Linked DNA regions of Stegostoma tigrinum. The protein of the gene in region 2 purifies or fractionates together with the protein of the main gene of each other region. This does not show direct contact. Links are inferred from orthologs where the notes say so. Each region holds a gene or a part of one and is shown on either strand. Other genes may lie near its edges.

Region 1 (7,607 bases), on a different chromosome or scaffold from region 2:
AATTGGAAACTATTCATCCAATTAGCCCATATTTTACAAAAAGGAGAAAAAAGGTTAAACTTCCACTCTCCACGCAAGTCAATATTCCAAAGAAATGCTTTCCAGGTATTGTTGACACAAACAAACAGGTTCCCAGCACCTGATGTTAAGTTGTAGCAGCTGTCAAAAACTGTCACTACTTTCAAAAACAAAAAGACTAAAAACTACTAAATTGATTTTCTCCCATGATATCAATTTTGCTCATTTACCTCTTCAAACTCAAAACTCTTGGACTACCATAGCCTGGAAGCAAAGAGCATTCTGATCACACTAAAATGTAAAAACCTAAAAGTTACTGTACAGCATAAATTATTTAAAATAAACTAGATATAGAAACCCGAGCAGCATAGCTGTTGGTCACTGTTGTCCCTGAAGGATCCATCACTGGAAGTTAGAAGTCAATTTTTAAAATTTCTAATGTTGTTTAGTTCTCCACTTTATTGCAGCAGCTTGGGTTGAGTTTCCAGACTCAGTTTATAATTTCCTTTCAAATACTTCTCACGAATGGGAGTAAAAATGTTTCAGATCTCTTCAACGTATTTCAGAAACAGTAACTAAAAAAAGCATTCTTGCTGCTCAGCAGAGCTCACATTAAAAATTATGTTGAAGGAAGTGAAACAGAATCACAGTATTGTACTGGATTCAGGCAACACCAAGAGCTGTACATTTTAGAAAAGCCAACATGATAAAAGACTGATGTTCAGAAACAGCAAGCTAGTTCCAATATGGGACACTTATGCACTGCTTCAGTCTATGAGAAAACTAAAGTTCCCAGGCAATTGAAGATAGTGTCTAAATAGAACATAGAACATAGAACATAGAACAGTACAGCACAGAACAGGCCCTTCAGCCCACAATGTTGTGCCGACCATTGATCCTCATGTATGCACCCTCAAATTTCTGTGACCATATACATGTCCAGCAGTCTCTTAAATGACCTTGCTTCCACAACTGCTGCTGGCAACGCATTCCATGCTCTCACAACTCTCTGCGTAAAGAACCTGCCTCTGACATCCCCTCGATACTTTCCACCAACCAGCTTAAAACTATGACCCCTCGTGCTAGCCATTTCTGCCCTGGGAAATAGTCTCTGGCTATCAACTCTATCTATGCCTCTCATGATCTTGTATACCTCAGTTAGGTCCCCTCTCCTCCTCCTTTTCTCCAATGAAAAGAGACCGAGCTCAGTCAACCTCTCTTCATAAGATAAGCCCTCCAGTCCAGGCAGCATCCTGGTAAACCTCCTCTGAACCCTCTCCAAAGCATCCACTGATCCTCAGTGCTTTTCAGGGTCCTACCATTCATAATGTATTCCCATGCCAGTTACATCAAATTAGTGAAAGATGCTCTTTGGTCTGCCTGAAATCTGTTGGCCTTTCAGTACAAAGAGTTGTCCTCGGCTGCGTGTTGCATACATGTGCATTCCAAGGTCCAGGACCACATGCTGAGGGATGCACTAAGGCTTGCAGCTGCTGTCACCAAGATGCTGTGGAGAGGGTCGGTGTCTAAATTCTTTTTGGCATGCTGTACCAAGGGGCTGTCCATTTACTGGACCCATTGGGTTGTGTACTTAAATAGATATGTATAGTTCTTGTCAAATTCTGTGTCTGTTCCAATTTTGCATTTGGAATTAGGTAATAAGAGTATAAATGCTCGACTGCAAAATATGATATTTTGTTACATTTTCTGTTACATCCAATTTGAACTGATTTATAACCTACTTATAGATATTTTACAAATAAAGTATATTTTTGCAAAAAATATCGTACAAAGACAGAAGCAAGTTATTCTTTTAAACTTGCATATTATAAATGCACACACCATCCCTACAAAACAGTAAAAAGTACAAACAATAAAAAGTACAAACAATATACAAACAAACTCATTAGAAGTGTGATCAGATTACTCACTTAAAGACAACCACATGTTCTTGGGGTCTTGAGTGATCTGGTAAGCACCAAACCCAGCTGCACTCCCAAATAGTAGGCCAGCTGCTAGAGAAGGCACACTACCCGCTTTAATATAACCAAGACTACAGTTTAAATGCAATCAAATAAATCCGTTGTTGCATCAATAAAATTGACAAATATGCCAACTTGCTTAAAAATCACTGCAATAGTAAGAAAATTGCTGATTCACTATAACATCGACATGAGGTGAGCTGTAACTTCTGTCTTTAGTAGCTTTCAGATGTATAACCACAGTGACCACATCACAAGACGACCGCAAAAATGCGAGCCCCTGAGATTTAACCCCCGGCCCCTCCTACCACAAAGTCCCGACCAGCAAAATGCACTTCATTTTAAAAAATCTGGAGTAACTAAATAATTAACATGCACGCATCAATTCACCGAAAGTCCAATGGGCAAAATCAAGGCCAAGGGCGTTATCTGGGGCCTGGTACCGCAAGAAAACTAGACACTTTCCCCGAACAACACATACGGCAGCGGCACCAGCTTCAATCTCATTCTGTTCGGGTTAAAATTTAAACCCAGGAAGCAGGATGGCAGCGGCTGGGTCGGGACACGCTTTCATTTTTCACTCTGAGAATGTGGAAGGAAGTGCTTACAATCTAGGTGCTTCTTCTTGGGGCCCATAATCTCGTGTGTGGTGGCTTTACAAACGGTTTTAGAGACGGCCGAGCCGGTGACACTGTGCTGAGCCGCAGCAATACGGTCCGTGATACTCTGTCCCGACATCTTCCCTCCTCGGCAGCAGCAGATTCACGCACAGAGGGGGTTTAAATCCCTCTCACGGAGCCACCCCGGCCAAGCAAATCAAGAAGAAAGGTTAGAAATAAAAATACACACAACCAAAAACAAGAAAAAGTAAACTGAAAACCCAGGAAGGAAAAGCCCCGAGCGGACGGGCTGCTCCAAGCTTTTCTAATTTACAGGCGGTCACTTGGACAGCTGTCGCCACCCAGGGTTCAAATCCTCTTTCTTCCTCTGCCGAAAAGGAGCAGGAGTTCCAGGAAAATGGCGGGTTTGAACCAGGCTCCTACCCACTGGATTGTTATCATGTGATCATCCACCAACCTCGTACCAGTCTGAGCCCCATCAGCCAGTCCCAGAATTTTCCTCCCACAGCCCAGCCTGACACCACTGTTACTTCCAGCAAAATTTGCCCCTCCCTCCCTTGTCTGCCTCTGCCAGATGAGAGTCTTTTTTTCGTTTCCATTCGTGCATCTGGATTTATGCACATCTGTCTACACGTGTACAGTTTTTTTGCACACGATCAGCTTCGTGCAGAATACAGATCGCACACTGAAGATGATTGTCTTGAAGAGGCTTACCTTATTTTCGAGAACAAAATGATTAGCTGGTTGAATTTGTTTTCCATGTTAAGTAATTTTCAAATGTTTGCCTTTTATTCGTGGAATTAATTGACAGCTGAAATGGAATACTTAAACTCAGCAGCTAAGACGAGCGCAAATTTTGTTTCGAATGGAAAACATGTTTGTATTCAGAAATTAAAAGATTCGCAAATAAAATCATCCGTTGCGATTGTGAAAGCTTACACCCAATCAGATTTATGAAATTGCCTAAAAACTCGTTTAACAGTTTTTGAAACACTGGCTCTGTTAACAATTCTCAGACCAGAGCAGGGGTTTACAATTTTATTTTCCTTCTGAGCCACCCCCACCATCCTATTACATTTAAAAAAAAGTCCACTGATCACCTGTAACACAAGTGCGTCTTCTGTTTAGAAATTCAGACAAGTATTTCATCATTACTGTTGTTTTTCCTACACTTCGACTGATATCCTCCAATCTTTCCCACTTCTTGGCTAAGATTCTCTCTTAACAGTTGTACTAAGCAAAGATTCTTCATATAATTATACTTTCAATTTTAAAGTACTTTAAAATAACTGCTTTTTAAAATGTAAGTTATATGTACAATATTGGGCACACTTCCCAATAGAACAACTGGTGATAATTCAATTTGGGGTTGGGAAGAGTGAAATCTCACCCACAGATGGTAGTTTGGAGAATTCAGAATGGTAAAGATAACATGGACATGGAGAGAATTGTGCTTATAGAGTAACCTGATTACAACAACTGGCATCTTCTGATATCTGCCAACTCTGCTATTGTGTGGTTCAAATTAAGAGTATTTTGAGATGGTTCACTACCATCAATTCCCTTTGTCTATACTTCATCAAGGACCTATCAAATGATCACTGGTAGAGGTTATATCAGATGAAGTGTCCATGCAGAAGAGGCACCGTTCTTTGTTAACAAGCTGGTTTATTGCATGATAGTAATAAGTACAAGACCATAAGACGTAGGAGCAGAAGTAGGCTTTTCAGCTCATTGAGAATGCCCAAACTTTCAATAAACTCATGGATGATATGGTGATTCTCAGCTCTACTTTCTTTCCTGTTGCTCGTAGCCCTTGATTCCCTCTTGACCTTGCATATGTACATGAAACCTATTCAAGGAAGCCCCGAGGATGTTAGGGGTATCAGATTGAGAAAACCTACTCAAGAGATCCATTTCCCACAAATATGTATTTTCTACTAAAGGGCCTGGCATAGTTTATTTGAGCTTTGGCAGCCTAACACATACAGTAAAGAATGGTCAGGATCAAGCTGCAGGAACCCTGTGAACAATTGTAATTTCAACTATGGATATGGAAGCTAGGGAACCCTGGGAAATAAATACTGACATCTTGAAAAGCGTCCATTTTAAAGAAGAGAAGGTGCCGGAGGTCTTAAAAATGCATTAAGATAAATAAATCTTTGGGACCTGATCAGGTGTATCCCAGAACATGGTAGGAAGCTAGGGGAGAGATTGCTGGGACGTTTCCTGAGATACTCACATCATTGACAGCCACAGGTGAAGTGGCAGAAGACTGGAGGCTGGCTAATGTGGTGCCATTGCTTAAGAAAGGTGATAAGAAAAACCCAAGGAACTACAAGTCAGTGAGCCTCTTTTCAGTAGTGGATAAGTTGTGGGAGGGGATTCTGAGAAAAAGGATTTACGTGCACTTGAAAAGGCGAGGACTGATTACAGAGAGTCAGCATGGTTTTGTGCATGGGAAATCATATCTCACTAATGCTTAAGTTTTTTGAAAAGGTGATGAAGGTCAATGAAGGTAGAGCAGTACACATTGTTTACATGGACTTCAGCTAGACATTTGACAAGGTTCTGTGTGGTAGACTGATTAGCAAGGTTGGATCACATAGATTCCAGGAAAAGCTAGCCATCTGGATATAAAATTGGCTAGAAGTAGGAGACAGAGGCTGGTTGTAGAGGTTGTCTTTCAGACTGGAGGCCTGTGACTAACAGTATGCCGCAAGGGTCAGTGCTGGGTCTATTGCTTTTCATCATTTATTTAAATGATATGGGTGCAAATATACGAGAATGGTTTGCAGATTTGCTGATGATACCAAAATTGGTGGTGTAATGGAATGTGAAGAAGGTTACCTCAGAGTTCAAAGGGAGTTTGATTGGATGGGCCAATGAGCAGAGGAGTGGCAGATGGAGTTTAATTTAGATAAATGTGAGGTGTTGCAATTTGGTAAGGCAAACCAGGGCAGGACATACGCAGTTAATGGTTGGGCCCTATGGAGTGTCGCTGAACAAACATACCTAGGAATGCAGGTGCAAAGTTCCTTGAAAGTGGAGTCGCAGGTAGACAGGGTAGGAAATAAGGTGTTTGGCACGTTTGTCTTTATTGTTCAGCGCATTGAGTATAGGAGCTGGGACATCATGTTGCAGCTGTACGGAACATTGATTAGGCCATCTCTAGAATATTGTATTCGATTCTGCTTTCCCTTTCACAGGAAGGTTGCTGTCAAATTTGAAATGGTTCAGAAAGGATTTGAGAATGTTTACAGGATTGATGGGCTTGAACTATAGGGAGAAGCTGATTCTTTTCCTCTAGAGCATTGGAGGCTGAGGAGTGATGTTACAAAGGTTTATAAAATCATGAAGGGCATAGTTAGGGTGAACAGCCAAGGTCTTTTTCCTCGGGTAGGGGAGTCCAAAACTAGAGGGCATAGGTTTAAGGTGAGAGGGGAAATATTTAAAGAGAACCTGAAGGGCAAATTGTTCATGCAGAGGATGGTGCATGTATGGAATGATTTGCTAGAGGAAGTGGTGGAGACAGATACAATTACAACATTTAAAAGGCATCTGGATGGATAAATGAACATAAAGGCTTTAGAGGGGTTTGGGCCAAATTCCAGCAAATTGGACAAGATCAGAATAGGACATCTGGTTGGCATGGATGAGTTGGACGAAGGGTTTGTTTCTCTAGTGTGTAACTCTAGCACTCTACAACTCTATGGTAACTATCAACTTGTGAGTGTAAGATGTAAGAATAAAGAGTTTGAGTGTTTTCAGCCAAAACATAGCAAGGAGATAACATTTCCCAGATTTCCACCATATGATGGTGTGTCAGTATCCAACCAAGGTGGTTCATTCCATGTACCATTAAGAAAAATGAGTACACTGGGTGCAATAACTCCACAGAAGCTGGTATCCCCCATCACTAAGTGACCCTTTATTTCCACATGCATAGTGCTTGACACTGATATGACTTCCTCAGGGCCAGCTCTCAGACTGAACAGAACCTCTGACACTCCTGCTTATATTTGTCAGCGAAGGATCCCTGATTGGACCAGACTAACAGCCCCAATGAGGGAACTCATATTCTATGAGTTCACATCTGGCTGACCTTGTTATAATCACTACAGTGGGCATTTCAAAGGATTTGGATGCTGATAATTTTCTGGCTGTAGCAATAAAGACATATGCATTATATCCATCCACTTTGGTCAAACTATGCCAGTATTACGATGACAAAACATTTGTCTCAGAACATGAAGTGTTAATCATGTATGCCTTATCCATAAAAACAGGATAAATATTAAATGCCAGTTATCGCCTCTCAACCTTTTCCCAATTGTCAGTAAAGTGATGGAAGCAGTCATCAATAATGTCATCAAAAGTCATAAATGAAACTGATCACGTTTAGTTCAAGTTTCACCAGAATCATTTAGCCCTCTCATCTCTGCTCTGATTATTACGTGGTCCACAATTTCAAACTAGGTGGAAGGATGACTTTGATGAAGCAGAAGTGCACAACATGCCCACTCCTGCACAGTTGCCTAGTCCTTCCATGATCAAGGAACAGTCGGTAAATTAGTGCCAACTGTTGGGAGTGCCAACAAATTTTGGCAGTAACACAGCAGAAATTCACCAAGAACAGGTATCTTTTTTTTAAAGCAGCAGCACAGGACAATGGAGAGGCTACATCAGTAATGCATCATGCCCAGTGGCTGTCATTAAATATCTGCTACAGACAGAGGGCCTATCACCATTCTTGCTAATCCCAGTTTTCCTGAGGCACTCACCATGACTGTTGAGTGTACATTCAGATATTACAGTGCTGACTGGCAAATGGTAATATAACTCCATATCTGAAACATGATAAATGTGTAAATATGGATGATGACAGTTTCATGAAGATTCCTTGCATAGCTTTTATTCCTTGCATTTTAGTTGGAATGATACCCATCTAGAGGGACATTGAAAAGAAAATCAAAAATTCTAAAAT
Region 2 (7,763 bases):
TTCCCAGGGCAGAAATGGCTGGCACGAGGGGGTCATAGTTTTAAGCTGGTTGGAGGAAAGTATGGAGGGGATGTCAGAGGCGGGTTCTTTACGCAGAGAGTTGTGAGAGCATGGAATGCGTTGCCAGCAGCAGTTGTGGAAGCAAGGTCATTGGGGTCATTTAAGAGACTGCTGGACATGTATATGGTCACAGAAATTTGAGGGTGCATACATGAGGATCAATGGTCGGCACAACATCGTGGGCTGAAGGGCCTGTCCTGTGCTGTACTGTTCTATGTTCTATTTATCCTTTTGCCCCTTTGTTACCTTCAACTATTGGTTGGATTTCCACATTACTTGCACTTGCCAAAAGGTGTTCTTAAGCTTGGCACACTTTATTTTCTCATTTGTTGACAATGTTTGTAAAACCTCACATACTTTCAGAGACATGTATTGGTTTTGTATCATACCAAACATATTTTGAATTTTTCCCCATTGGTTGCATGTAGGTTTGTCCATTAATTGTTTAGTCAGTTAATTTATCAGTCACCCCTTTAAAACATACCTTCAAATTTAAACCATTAGTTTGTGCTTCTTCCTTTCACACACAATGTCAAACTCAATCCTATTTTAAATCACTTGTGTGCTTCCTTATGGTTAGATTGCTCTGGTCTGTTACTCTGCACCAGATCCAATATTGTTTGTTCACTGTTATGTTAAAATCAATTTCTTTCTTATAAAATCTTTGCAATAGGCATCATGATAAATACACCGTTAATATCCTTTATTTGCTATGCAAGAGCAACATGGCAGGCTTCATTTTCATTGGTTTCAGGACTAAAATTGTCAATATTGAATGAGTACAACTGTTGTACCCAAGGTTAATCGGTGGACCACATAATAGAGAAATCATGGTAGATAATGTGACATATCGTGGATTTTATTCTATATAGTGCCACACCAATGCATTAACAGCAAGTCCCAGCCATTTAAAAAAAAGGCTTCTACACCAGTCCCCTCAAATCTCTACAGAAAATAGAGACTACCATGGTTGTCCTGCAATATCATACACAGTGACGATGTTGTAATGGAAGTTATCTTCCTCAGTCACTAATTCTGTGTTCAGAGCTTTAGAACAACAGAATAGAGCCAGATAGCTTAATGCACAGGCATTTGACCTTCACCAGCTTTTTATACGACAAAAGCCACATATAAAAACTAAACTAATATGCCATTAATCTATGTACACTTCACGTTACAGACACAACAGGTTTTCAAAGTATCCACCAATTAGACAACAACATCAAGAATTCTTTCTAAACTGACAAATCTATTAAAGTTCAGAGGATAATATGGCAAGTTTAGACTCCATCAGCCTAGTGAGTAAACAACATAAGGTTGTATTGATACTAACTTTGATTCCCAATCTGTGCTCAATTCCCTTATCCCTTATGGATCTGCAGTTAGGGCAAGGCATGGCATTATTGTAGAACATCTAGAATCTCAGCGACTCCATTGATAAACGTGTTTGCATAGACATTGTGAGACAACAGTTTTCGCTCAGCTTAACTGCCCACAGTTGAACAGTTACTAACACCTACGTTTAAGCTCCAACGTAAAAAGAAACAAAGAAGGCTGACACCCACCTATCACCTCAGCTAGAAGCAGCTTCAGGAAAACGCGAACGGAGAAAAATCGGCGGAAAACAAAACTCCAGAGGTCAGAGGGCACAGGGCACAGGGGAGTCAAAAATATGGAAAAAAAGGCCACGGTTCGATTTCTATTCCTTTCACAACATGGACATCGTACACCAGAGGCTGTGACAGAAGCTCATCAACACGTTTTCCCAGATTCTTTCTAACTGGCCGGTTTAGTGCATTTATGTTTCTTCATTAAGAACGATCCAGTATTAGACCCAGTAGACTGCCTTTGACCTTTAAGAGCCAGTTATATTGTTCAAAAATGCTCTTTACATTTTGAATATTAATTCAATGACAGGTCAAGTCCAGATCTTCAATTTCCCAGTGCAAGATCGAGAGCGTTGGCTATCAACCCAGTTTAAAGAAAAAGCAGTGTACCTCAATACAGCAACAATTGCCTTTACTCATAATAGAGACATATGCTAACATAGAATGAGTAGGCTCTGCTTTAGAAAAAAAAGTGTCTGGTGAGCGAGCGAGCCACAGGGTAATAAGCAAATCTGAGTTGATCTACTTTCATCAGTCGCTCCTAGAATTAATTCCGTCCCAATTAAGCAACATAATAGGGGAAATAAACGAGGCCCGTGTTACTGCGGAGATGGGTGGGCAGCATCTCGGGTTAGAGGGGATAGTCGGCTGCTTATTTTAAATGCAAAGATCTTGAACGCAGTTGGTCTCGAATCCGGGCAAATAGATTCGAAAAAAAAGCAGAATTCCGGGAATTACGTGTAGGTCATTATTTGCAGGATCAAAGGTGTAAATACTGGGGGGAGGGGTTCTCTCGCCATGTCGAATCAAGGTTTACGGAAATCGATCGGAATAAACAAGCCGCGCTGTCTGTTTCAGTCGCTGCTTAGTGTCACTTTCAGCCGATTCGTGCCATTCATGATTAGGACCCAGCGATTGTACAATGGGCAAAATCCATCTTAAAACGGAATGCATTCAGTTGCTATCTGGGTCGTAATAAGGTCCTGCACTTCCTGGATAGGCGCTGATTAAGAACTCAGCTTCGTATTCCCACAGCCAAAATAAAACAAAAGGTTTTCAAAGTAAAATGAAAACGATATGAAGAAAGAGATCGTGAACCAACGCCAAAGCTGAGTAAAGAGCAGAACAGTAAGGAGTGCTGAGGTTCACTGGTTCAATAGCACTGATACATAGATAATATATATGTATACATGACTTGCTTTACCTGCTGCCTGTCAAACTGCTCTCTTTCTGCCTCCAGACTGTGCACGGAGCGGCGGTGCAGCACCTTGGCCGGGACCTGTCTGATGGTGTTCATGGTGGACACCCGGACAAGGGATTCTGCTGAGCGCTGATCCTGAGTGTTTGAATGGGCAGCTCCTGTGTGACCCCCCCGCCAGTCCCGATCCCGATCGTGTCCGGACTCAGTAACAACTCACAGGCAGCAGCACACAGTCTGTGTGCATGCTGGGAAACGTAAGACGGCTGGCTGACTGACTGTCAGCCCAGCTCTGACGGTCAATGCTGCCAACTGCAGGGTGGTACAGGGGCAGCTAACAGCTTGTGAAACAACGTCCACGTACGCTGCATGCAAGATAGTGGGGGCGGAAGGTAACAATGTTATTTATAAAATGGATTGAAAATACTCTTGGCTTATTCTTAAGGGTAAACGTAACAACAATTCTGTTTGATCCCCATATTAATAATTGAGAAATCAGGGGACCGTGCAGAAGATTTTTGTCTTCTGTTCCTTGTAGCTTTGTCTGTAATTATGTTACACCATTCAAACGCCCCTACATTTTTAGAATTAAAATAATTATTTTAAATAGTTTGTAAGTATATTTTATACATTTTATATCATACTTTACCTTATAGTACCCAACACCTTTCCTACACGGTCATTATTCTGACGAAAGGCAATATTATTTTAATTATAAGTTAAGAATTTCTATAATATTTTATGTATAATATTCATATTGTTAACACAATTATTTATATTGCAATTAATTTATAATTATAATACCTTTCATTAGAATAATGATTAAGATGAATTGCATTCCACTTCAGAAGAAGCAGGTGGCAGTGAAATTGTATGTAAATAAGGTATCAATGTCTTAAGACCATAAGACATAGGAGCAGAAATTATACCAGTCGGCCCATCAAGTCTGCTCCACCATTCAATCTTGGCTGATACGTTCCTCAACCCCATTCTTCCGCTTTCTCCCTGTAACCCTTAATCCCCTTGATATTCAACAACCTATCTGTCTCAGTCTTAAATGTACTCAATGACCTGGCCTCCACAGCCTTCCGTGGCAGGGAATTCCATAGATTCACCACGCTCTGTCAGAAGACGTTTCTCCTTCTCTCCATTCTAAAAAGTTTTCCCTTTACTCTAAGGCTGTGCCCTCGGGTCCTAGTCTCTCCTACCAATGGAAATATCTTCCCAACATCCACTCTGTCCAGGCCATTAAGTAATCTCTAAGTTTCCATTAGATCCCCCCTCATCCTTCTAAACTCCAATGAGTATAGTCCCAGAGTCCTCAAACATTCCTCATATGTTAAGCTTCTTATTTCTAGGACCATTCTCAAAAATCTCCTCTGAGCCCACTCCAGGGCCAGTACATTCTGCATGAGATATGGGGCACAAAACTACACATAATACTGCAAATGTGGCCTGACTAGGGCCTAATAAAGCCTCAATAGTACATTCCTGCTTTTACATTCATTTTGTCTCACAATAAATGCCAACATTGCACTTGCCTTCTTGATACTGACTCATCCTGAAGTTTACCTTGAGAGAATCCTGGACTAGAACTCTCAAGCCTCTTTGTACTTCAGACTTCTGAATTTTCTCCCCATTTAGAAAATAGTACATGGTTGTATTCTTCTTACCAATGTGCATGACCTTATACTTTCTCACGTTGTACCCCATCTGCCACTTCTTTTCCCACTCTCCTGACCTGTCCAAATCCATCTGCAGCCTCCCCACCTCCTTCCATACTACCTGTACCTCCACCTATCTTTGTATCATCTACAAACTTAGCCAGAATGCCCACAGTTCCTCCATCTAGATCATTAATGCATAAAGTGAAAAGTTGTGGTCCCAACACTGACCCTTGTGGAACACCACTTGTCACTGGCTGCCATCCTGAGGAAGACCCCTTTATCCTCACTCTCTGCTTTCTGCCAGACAGCCAAACTTCTGTCCATGCTAGCACCTTGGCTGTAACACCATGGGCCCTTATCTTACTCAGCAGTCTCCTGTGCGGCACCTTGTCAAAGGCTTTCTGGAGGTCCAGGTGGAAAACATCTATTGGCGCTCCTTGGTCTACCCTGCTCGTTACTTCCTCAAAGAATTCTAGCAGATTTGTAAGGCATGACCTCCCCTTGATGAAACCATGCTGACTTTGCCCTGTTTTACTATTCACTTCCAAATATTCAGAAATCTTATCCTTCACAATGGACTCCAAAATCTTACCCATGACTGAGGTTAGGCTAATAGGCTTGTAATTTTCCATTTTCAGAGGAGACAGTGAGAAAAACTGATAAGGTAGTGGGACATTAGTCATCTTTGGTTCCATTCTCATAAAGAAAGTTTCAAAATCAAGTCCATTCATTTTTATTATATAACACTCGTACTTTAAGTTACCACAATTTTAGCACCTGCATCTCAAAGAGTCTAAACTCAATTCAAATATCTTGCAGGTACTACTTTACTGCTAATGCATTCTTAGAGATTGAACCCATGGTTTAGCTAATAATGAAAGTTATGAAAATGAACTGATCATTGTATTTGAGCAGTTGTATGGGATCATACAGTTTTGAAAAAGATATCGTACACCCATGCCCTTGGATGACGTATTTCAAAGTTAAATAGACCTAAAAATTAATAGGCCGAAACATTGATCATCAAGCCTCCCGTCAAAATGTTAGTGTAACACTCGACCTGCTAAATTATCAAAATCCCACTAAGCACTGAAGATAGTCAGCAACAACTTCTATTTATAATAGCACCTTTGACATAATAACAGATCTCAAGATGCTCGCAGCAGCTTTATAAAGTCAAATCTGGATAATGAATCACATGAGGCTACATTGGGGTGGATGAGAACGTGTTTAGTCAAAGAGATAGGTTTAAAGGAGTGTCTTAAAGGAGAAAATAAATTTAGAAATTTGGAGACATGTTGGGAAGGATTTCCAGAGTTTATGGAGTAGACTGCTGACAGACATGGCCATCCAAGGTGGAGAAAGCAAAATCTAGGTTGCTTAAGCCCAGAATTAGTTGACTGCAGATATCCAGGAGGGTTATGGGGCTGGAGGTGATTGTTACAATAGGAAGGGCAAGACCATGGAGAGACTTGATAACAAGGATGAGATTTTTAAAATTAAAGTGTTGCTTGATTTAGAGCTAATGTATGTCAGAAGGCATAGAGGTGATAGGAGAACGGGATTTGTTCTAAGGGGAGTTTAGCATGGTCTCAAGTTTACAGCCAGAGTGCATTGGAATAATCATGTCTACAAGTAGCAAAATTGATGAGCTTCAGCATCAGCACAGTCAAGTCTGAAAAAAGTCAGCTGAACCTATAATTCTATGGAAGTACATTTTTGTACACTCAAAATAATACAAATTCAAAATGCTGTCTCTGATTATTTTGCAAGCAGTAACTGCCTTAAACCCATCTAATTCTTTCCAATTCTCACATCAATCTTCAGGGTTTCTGCTTGGCAGGACAATCTTCTGCATTGAAAGCTTTTTATGGCAAAGAATAATAATGAAAAAAACTTGAGATTTTACTGTTTTCTGACAACACACCAGCAGGATCAACAAAAAAAGAGAACAAATAAATATAAAAGCTATTAAATGTAAGTGTTTTCTTTATAAATGGCATGAAAATTAGTTGGAGGTCCTGCTACAGGAAAAAACTGACCTGGAGATTGAAGACTGATGCTGTACTAAGCCACACGCACCCTAACTTCCAGGTTGCTTTGATTTAGCTTATTAAATCCACTTAATTACCCCGACCAGGTCTTAGAAATTATCATTGTCCAAACTGGGTAAGATCAGGTGAGTTATAATTTCATGATCAGCATCCATTGATCACAATTTTTAAAAAAGGTTGTTCATGGTTTGTGTGCATTGCTGGCTCGGGGCACATTTATTGCACAGATGACAGTTAGGTCAACCATGTTGCCATGGGATTTTTTAAAAATGAAATTCACTTGTGGGATGTGGACAATCACTAACTAACCAGCATTTTATTGACTCTCTTGTGTGCCCTTGAGAAGGTGTGATAAGCTACCTTCTTGAAGTGTTGCAATCCACAATGCCCTGAGGGAGAGAATTCCAAGAGTCATACGTAAGCCAGACCAGGTAAGGATGGCCAGTTTCCTTCCCTAATGGATTTTAGTGAATCAGATCTTTTCTTACAACAATCACAGTGATCACCATTAGGCTAGCGTTTTATTCCAGACTTCTTTAAACTGAATTCATACTTCACCATCTGTCATGGCCCCACGTCACTAAATATTAATCCAGGGTTCTGAATTACCACATCATCGTCTCCCTGTGAAATATTGGTTTCTCAGTTGGTAAGGCTTTCACCTTCCAAGTACCATACAGTCCCCACACACTTGGAGAATTACAGCCTAGCATAGAAAATGCTGTTGGCAGTGCCAATAAAAACACGCCTGACAGGGAATGAAAGACAGTACTGTTGGCTTAGAAATCAATGATAATGCGGGTTTGGACCAGAAGACAGGAGTTTTACTGGCAGTGAGAAATGGACGACAACACATTGCTCCCTTGTGAGTGCCTGTATGTCTGCTACGGGTTTCATTCCCCAATTACAGACAAACACCCTTTGCCAATAGGTTTCTCAGCACGATTTTCTTTTCAGATGGAGCTACTGCTTGGGGTTGGGGTTAAAATATGATCTTATGTTCTCATCTCTGACCAAGTTAATTTACTGCTCTAGCAAGGTTGGAGACTGGCATAAAAATCTAACACAAGGAAAAAGTGAATATTCAGCTTGCAAAGAAAACAGTCACATTAATGCAAATCTTTACACAGCATATGAACAGAAAACCACATGCAATACTGTATCACAATACTTTATG

What was found. The genes of interacting proteins can lie anywhere in the genome.
Region 1: the proteins of huntingtin-interacting protein 1-related protein-like (region 2) and picalma fractionate together in Homo sapiens (co-fractionation; 3 studies listed by BioGRID and IntAct, with this or other methods). This does not show direct contact. The link is inferred for Stegostoma tigrinum from reciprocal best matches to the Homo sapiens genes HIP1R and PICALM.

The regions. Positions count from the first base shown.
Region 1 is NC_081359.1:53,569,349-53,576,955, reverse strand, and holds the start of picalma (phosphatidylinositol binding clathrin assembly protein a), read right to left. Parts: upstream 3,212-7,607; 5' UTR 2,739-3,211; coding exon 2,609-2,738; intron 2,034-2,608; coding exon 1,950-2,033; intron 1-1,949. UniProt on the Homo sapiens protein: Cytoplasmic adapter protein that plays a critical role in clathrin-mediated endocytosis which is important in processes such as internalization of cell receptors, synaptic transmission or removal of apoptotic cells.
Region 2 is NC_081379.1:26,516,371-26,524,133, reverse strand, and holds the start of huntingtin-interacting protein 1-related protein-like, read right to left. Parts: upstream 3,197-7,763; 5' UTR 2,965-3,196; coding exon 2,872-2,964; intron 1-2,871. UniProt on the Homo sapiens protein: Component of clathrin-coated pits and vesicles, that may link the endocytic machinery to the actin cytoskeleton. Binds 3-phosphoinositides (via ENTH domain).